2 linked regions of the Oryzias latipes genome follow. The protein of the gene in region 1 interacts with the protein of each later gene in a biochemical or structural test. Links are inferred from orthologs where the notes say so. Each region holds a gene or a part of one and is shown on either strand. Other genes may lie near its edges.

Region 1 (3,922 bases):
AGTTCATTGTTAGATTACAAAAAAAAGATACTTTATTTACTTGATATAAACACAATAAATATTTCATTCATTCATAAATTCATAGCCCAGCTGTATCTAAGTTCAGTAAGTCCAGAGGTCTTTGTTGGATTCCCCTACCTATGTCTTCGAGAAAGATCAGGTCCTTCTGCTGCTGCAGCTTGTAATTTCTCAGTAAACTCTCTGCTCTAAAACAGAACATAAAAAGTAAGAATTGACTCAAGGATTTTACACGATAATTCAAAAACCAGCAGTTGTTACATTATGCAACAGACAAAAAGAGAGACTACCTTGCAAGCCTTTCGTTTGTGAGCTGTTCACGAACACACAGCTGTTGCTCCCTTCCTGACAACAGAAAACACAATTTATTTGTACAAAAAGAGAGATTATTGTTGAAAACAAAGTTTAGAAAAAAACACCTTGCATTTCAAACTTTTGTGTGTGGACAGATGTGATGGCAACACTTTGGTTGAGAGGATGGATAATCACGTTCCGACTCCTCAAGCGTTTTATAAGGAACATCAGAAACAAGTACAGCAAATATAAAATCTACCAGATTGAAGCATTTGTGAATAAATGTATTAATCAAAGATTGCTTCGAAAAGGGCTGCTTATAATTATTAAGAGAGCAAGACACCCCAAACCCCTTTCTTTGGGATGAACCCATGCGTGGGAACAGAGAAATGTTTTCTAGTTCTTGTGCAATTTGGCAGCGGAACAGTTCAAGGCCTCAAATGTTGTTTCACAATTTCAGAAAAGTATCTCAGACTCTGATAAGTCAAATCCAAAGGACTGGTTTCTCATTGAATGGAGGCCGCTGCACTCAGAATAACCAAAGAACTATATTCTCCCCTTGATTTAGCCTCAGAAATAACTTAAAGCCTTACTCTCCAGCCTCTCCTCGCGCTCCTTCAGTGCTTTCTCCCTGTCCCGCAGAGCCTGTTCCCTCCGCCTGAGCTCCACCGCTGAGACGTGGGGCGCTTCACTCAGCCTCTGCGGGGGGCTGCTGGAGTCTGCCGACTTCCTTCGGGGTCGAACTTCTGACTTTCTCTGCTCATCCTCGACCACGACACTCAGCAGACTGCTCTGAAGAATAGACTCCACAGACGGCCTCAGGTAATCCTGTCAAAAAGCAGACTGGTGCTCAGCAGATCGTCTATTGCAGGATGAAAACAATCAATCCTTTATTTCAGACCTTCAAGTTGAGCATTCTGCTGATAAGAGAGTTCAGTTCCTCGGAATAACGGAAAGGAATTCTTCTAAACTTTCCTTCCCTGATCTTCTCTGCTAACTCCTTCTGGTTGTAAGCAGTGAATGGAGGCCTCAAAGAGGAAAAAATCCAAACATGAATTCATTAGATCAAACAGCCGAGGGAGCGGATGGAAAAGCTTAAAAAAAAAAACTTACGATAATGCGCAGAGTTCATACAGCAAACATCCCAATGACCAAATATCTGACTTTTCATTGTATGACATCCTATTTATTTGTTCCTGAATGAATAGAAAGTGTAAAAAACTAATCAATAACAAGTACAATATTTTTTTTACCTTGTAAATGTCCTTTAGAGATTTTTTTTAGAGAAAAAATAATTTAAAAAAAGCCAAAAATGTTAAATAACTTACTGGAGACATGTAGTATGGTGTGCCAACAAATGTCTTTGCAAAGCTGGTGTCGTGGTTCAGAATCCGAGCTAAACCGAAGTCGCCGAGTTTTACGTTCTGGTTTGCATCGAGGAAGATGTTGGCTGGTTTTAGATCCCGATGAAGGACGGTGGCTCTGCCGTCGCGCCGCCGGTGACACTCCTTTAGTGCCAGAGAAAGCTGCACCATGACTCGCAGGATAAACTGCTCCTCCAAGTACTTCCTGCCATTTAAAAACAACACATGATGATGCAGATAGAAAGAGGATGACTGCTTTTTCTTTCTTCCCATTTGCTCTATTTACCTCTCTTTGATACACTTGCTGATGAGACAAGACAGATCGCCACCTTCACAGTACTCCATGATGATGTACAGCATGGTATTACGGCGGTCTATAATGCGGTCGTAGTACCTCACAATGTTTGGGTGCTTGAGTTCCCTCAAGAGGTTGACCTCTGAGACCAGCATCTGTTTCTCACACTCAGCCATGGTGCCATAATCGAGCTCCTTCCACACAAGAATCTAGAGAGCAGAGATGCTTTAACCATCAAGAACATGTTCATCTTAGTCCTTTTTTCAAACTTAAAGTTCAAGTGTTTGAGTAAAAAATATTATGTTTTACTGATAAATGACAAAAAACATTTAAATGCTACATTTCCTTGATACTGAATTATGTTTAAAGATTTTTTCTTGTGAAATTAATGTCAGAAAAACTGTAATTTCCCAAATATTAAAGTACATTTGTGTCGTTATTGATTTACAGAGAAGCAAGTCATTGTTTTTTTTTTCATGACTTATCAATTAGATAACATTCACACCGTGTATTTATGTATCTTTATTTAAGAAAATACTGTATGCGTGTCTTGTGCCATAAATACTCACTTTCCCGTCACTCTTTCGTTTTATTTTCTGGCATCTTCCATAGGAGCCCGAGCCTATCGTGTACAGCACTTCGTAGTCATCAACACAGGACGGCATCTTGCCTTCGTCAACCGAAACCAACGTTAAAAGTTTCCAAACTTCACGTTAGCGTCAAATGTAAAGATAGGCCTTAGAAAAGTTGAACATCTAATTCAAGTAGTTACTTAAATTATGTTTTTTGCTCATCCAGATAATAAAGAAGTCCAAAGCCGATCTCCTCAAAACACTCGTGTTCTTTGGCATCAGTTGAAAACACAGGAAGTGCTGCTTCTCCGTTTAAATCGGTGCCAGAATTCTTACCTCTAATTGGCTCGTTCCCACGGGCACGACGGTCTCTGATTGGTCAAACAAGGACGCATTTGTTCACGTTGCTAAGAGCTGAAAACCCGCGAGATTAGAGCGGGAAGAAGCATGTTTATTCCCTGTCCACTAGAGGGCACCAAAAACAAGCAGTAGATTTACGGATTTGTTGACATATAATTGAACATACTAGATACAAATAAAACGTTTATTTGGGGAACGTGGGGAACAATTTGGGAAACAATATTGCTACAAAACACTTTTTTCGTATTATCCACATATAAATTGATTTTTCAAATAAAGCCAAGTGCACTTTTTTCTTTTGCATTTAAAATAACTAGTCACATGAGAACAATCCTTCGATTGAATTTAATAAATTTAACCCTGTCGGTAGCTTGTAAATGTACTTAAAGGTCACTGGCTCATCCAACAGCATTTTCTAAGCATGCATTCTAAGATGGATGGGAAGCAGATCCTACAGTCATCGGTCCCTTGATTTGACCTGCAGGGCAGTGAAAGACAGTGACCTCTCACAGTGCTCCTACATCTGCCATGGCTCTGAATTCACTTCATTGCTTCACTGCAGCAGGATGCCTTCTGGCACGACGGTTTAAGGAAAAAAATGCTGGCGTCACATTGTATTTTTCAGACTGAAACACAGAGCGAAAACATTCAAACGGCTTTGGATCATCTCTAGCATTGTGCACCTTTTCATCCCTTTTCTGGTGCTGTGACAGATTGACAGGTGGGAAGTAGCATGTTGGTAATTTCCAGCCCGTGAAATTGAAGCGTGACTGGAGCAAATCCTAACCACGACAGCTGGTTTTTGTGAACGTGTGATCCGTACTGGAGATGGATGCAGCGTCTGGGACAGTGGTCTAGCCTCTCAGTGGGGCAGCCAGCATAACAAGTCAGATTATCCCCACAACTCTGTCTGCTCTTGAGAGAGTGTTGGACCGGTCTGCCAAAAATCCCTCCGCCAAAGGTCACTGTTTCAAAAAGCTGGACATCAGCCAGGGACAGTTGTGAGGTGGAAGAGAGAG
Region 2 (3,922 bases), on another chromosome or scaffold:
ATGCAAGTGAGTCCAAGAAGTAGCTGACAAACTGCATAGGCAGCGTTTCACAATGACAAATGCTGACGTCAATGCTGCGCTACTTTCGACATTCAACTTTGCCACAGTGGGAACGTTGACATTATGTGTAAATATTGTTACAAACATGCAGGGTGTAACCATGCTGCTATGAATAAAACATAAAAACCCACCTCCATGACAGCAAAAGATCTTCTCATCAACAATTGCAGCGATAGGAAGGCAGTTAAAGCAATCGGTGAAAGTCTTCCAGAGTTTGATGTTGTACCTCCTTTTACCTAAAAAGTGACGACAGATGTCTTTGATTATGTAAGAAGGTGTTTTCTAATCCAACATGCAATTAAATGGCCATAAACATCTTTATCAGCCACAGCAACTATGTGTAAAGATCAGGGTTCAGCTGTGCATCAAGGTGCACGTGTCCAAAAGCCTCTCTAAAGTCAATATAAAACCACTCACACTCATCGTAGAAGCCATATATTCTGTTGATTGAAGCACACTCGTGGTTTCCCCTCAGCAGAAAAAAGTTTTCTGGATATTTTATTTTGTAGGCCAGCAGAAGACAGATTGTTTCCAGAGACTGCTTCCCCCTGTCCACGTAGTCACCCAGAAACAGGTAGTTGCTCTCTGGAGGGAAGCCCCCATACTCAAACAGCCTGAGCAGGTCGTAGTATTGCCCATGAATATCACCTGAATGATACAGAATACAGGAAACCAAACTGATGAACACACATTCATTCCTTTGTTAATTAGAAGCACCCCTCCAATCATCTTTTCCGGTTTGGGAAAATGTTCTGTGGTATTTTTAAATTATGATTAAGCCTTTTTTTAAAGCCAAAATCAAACAACCTGTGTTGTTTTCTAGAACATAGTTTCCGCAGGAGTTCATTCTAAATTTGCCTCTTGAGTTGTGGGCAATTCCGAGGATGCTTTCTGAATTGTGGAACTGTTGGTATAGAGTTAGCCCACCCCTACTTCCCATTATCTATGTGTTTACACATTCTCCCGCTAGCTCACAGTCACTCACAACCCCAACATAAAATAACAAAATGGCTAGCAATATTGCAGCTATCCACCATACAGTTTAGAGTCAAATACTAGCTCAGACACAGAAAACAAAGACGAACATAGATCTAGTTATTTGCAAGTGGATACGTTAAAAGAGCGGGGGAACTTGTTGCTTGCTGATGGTAGCACCTACGTCACAGCTACAAGCGTTTTCCAACTGCATTTTTCTTTCTGCTTCTACTATTTCAATAAGGAAATACTCAGAAATGCACATTTTAAGCTTAATTTTGTCAACATATGTCCTCCATCATTAGAAAAAGCCCACAAGAACATGTTAACACAACTTTCATCAGAGTGAGCAATTAAGCCTAATACAAACAAACAATACCACAAATCTTCAAAGGGGCCTCAAGCTCGAGGAGAATGGGTTGACTGAGAAAGATCTCCCTAGATTTGAGGCATAATCCACGGATCTCGTTCTCCTGCAGCTGCACATTCTTGCCGGGCTTTGCTCCTCTGACTGCAAGGAAAAAACACAAACAACAGTCAGGAAAAAAAAAAAAAAGTACAGTTCCTGTCAGGTCAGCAATGCCCTGCACAGTTTGTATTAAGACCGTGACAAAATCACTTAATGTTTAGCAAGCTCTGAATTCAAAATGCTCTTTTTAGTCATTTTATGGTCTTTTACAGCATCTATGGGTGTTGTGTCTTTGACGGTAAATGATACACAGATTTTTTTTTGTGATAACAAAAACACGTCGTACTTTAGTTTCACCAAACCTGAAATGAGATAACATTAAGCCAAAACAACATGAAATGATATGATGGTCTTTTTACAAATAGAAACAGACACTTAAATGACTACTATAAATAAGAACATCTGCAGAGCCTGAACATTACAATCCCGGGGTTGTGCGTTACAGACACCATTTACGCTTTACAACACGGTGATTATAATGCGCTTTTGTGCATTTTTGAAACACCAACAATCTCTGTAAAACAGAATTCAGCTAATTATAAAAAAATACGTATTTATCTTTATGTGTTATCGAGTGCGTAAAAAAAAACCGGCGTCGCTACGCTAGTTGTTTTTTTTTTGTCAGATGTGTAGCACAAACAACCATAAAAGCAAAAAAATGATAATTTCCTTACCTTCTAAAAGCCGTTGGATTATACTATCTATGTTGAGCTTGTCAACATCAGCCATTGCAAGCGCCTGCGTTAAAGTCGTCTCTGTCTAATCTAGATCTTTACGCTAACTCCTGTGAAAGCTAGCCTGCTAGTTACCGTAGAATTAGCTAGCTCGGCTGATTTTCCGGTTCAACCTCAGATATGTTAGTCGGACGCACGCGCGGGGGGGATGAATATATAATATTAAATCCTAATTAGGTTATTTGCACGTCGCAGACGTTAAAAATAATCCCATCCGGCGGCGGGTTTTGTTGAGCGTTCGGGACTTGAAGGAGGACGTCACGGGCTCTAGCTGTTAGCTGGTGATGGTGTCCCGTCTGTTATCTCCTCTGCCGCACCTTCGGAACATAGCTGCCGCGCTGCGTCTGCCCCCTACTGGACGGAACGGGGAACGCAGCGTGAAGGAGCGCGCCAACTTCTCAAAATAATGTTTCACCATTCTGTATAGAACCAACAAGACTTCATTTACTCGTTTCAAAAAGCAGTTTATGACAGCAAAATAAATCACATGTTTTGCTACAATATGGTAATTTGAGGTTTGACGTAATGATTTGCACATTTATACATTTTCTTTTACTCCATTTGAATGTTTATAATAAAAGGGCTTGTTTTACTTTGCTGTTGTACTATAGGTTGATGGAGTTTTTTTCCTCTTTACCCCCTAAAGTAAATAGACTATGTTGATTTTAAGAACTAAACAAGCTAATTTCTGGGATTGTTCTTCAGCTCTGGTTTCATTTTTGATAAAGTGAAAGCAACACATATCAAAATGCTTTAAGAAATATTTTTCTACTTTTATTAGCATCTCATAATAAAACCAGAACCAACTGTTTTTATGGATAGTTAGTGTCACGAATACTATCTATATTTATGTGGAAAGTTTAAATCAGAGATAAAAATGTTATGTAATTTTTTATGTTTATTTGGTCTTTTAAAGGTAATTGTTTTTTTTCCTTTAAACAATAATCAACATTAATAAAAAAAGACTGTGCTGAAGCCTCATGCTTATCAAAGGCCATCCAAAAAAAAAAAAAAAACCTACAATTTTTTGTTTTGTTTTTGTGATTCATTCCCTGACTCTTATGTGATCCAAATCTAAACATATAAGTATTATGTCGATTCATAATTTTGGAGCAAAATAAAAAAATGTATTTAGTAAATACAATAAATTAATAACTATGAGTAAGTTTCTCTTTTCAAATTCAATAGTATTCGGTTTGCTGTTTTAGAAAAAGATGCATCTTATCAGTATATAAATAATCAGTACAGATGCTTGACTGGGATTCATTGTCATTTTAGAGGTCTCTGTCCTTCCCTTTACGAGAAATAACCAGCAAGTCAGTTGAGGGCTTTATACATTTTCTGAAATATGATCCGCATAATTTGAATTTATAACTGTGAAGATATGAAAATATTGTTATAAAAGTACTTTGCCTATTCAAAAAAATATCTAGCAAGCTAGAAATAGCATGAATAATGTGGGGAAAAAATTAATGGTTAACAAAAGTCAGCGACTTCGGAAGCTTCAATTTAAAGGTTTTTGGCACAACTAACTTTAGGTTTGAATTCAAGCTTGACAGTTTAAAAAGGAAGAATGAAAACATTTCCTAGAAGAGTGTGCTTTAAAATGAAACTTGGTAAAACCGGCTCAAACTAAGTCCTGCTCTGAGTGTTTTCCAGATGCAAACAAAAGATGCAAAACTGC

The links.
Region 2: the proteins of nek2 (region 1) and ppp1cc interact in far-western blotting, tested with the Homo sapiens proteins (2 studies listed by BioGRID and IntAct). The link is inferred for Oryzias latipes from reciprocal best matches to the Homo sapiens genes NEK2 and PPP1CC.

What each region holds. Positions count from the first base shown.
Region 1 is NC_019882.2:6,332,218-6,336,139, reverse strand, and holds the start of nek2 (serine/threonine-protein kinase Nek2), read right to left. Parts: upstream 2,867-3,922; 5' UTR 2,637-2,866; coding exon 2,541-2,636; intron 2,181-2,540; coding exon 1,963-2,180; intron 1,882-1,962; coding exon 1,641-1,881; intron 1,509-1,640; coding exon 1,426-1,508; intron 1,341-1,425; coding exon 1,214-1,340; intron 1,141-1,213; coding exon 906-1,140; intron 364-905; coding exon 309-363; intron 207-308; coding exon 139-206; intron 1-138. UniProt on the Homo sapiens protein: Protein kinase which is involved in the control of centrosome separation and bipolar spindle formation in mitotic cells and chromatin condensation in meiotic cells.
Region 2 is NC_019867.2:25,506,112-25,510,033, forward strand, and holds the start of ppp1cc (serine/threonine-protein phosphatase PP1-gamma catalytic subunit), read right to left. Parts: upstream 2,556-3,922; 5' UTR 2,234-2,555; coding exon 2,179-2,233; intron 1,547-2,178; coding exon 1,415-1,546; intron 709-1,414; coding exon 478-708; intron 297-477; coding exon 192-296; intron 1-191. UniProt on the Homo sapiens protein: Protein phosphatase that associates with over 200 regulatory proteins to form highly specific holoenzymes which dephosphorylate hundreds of biological targets.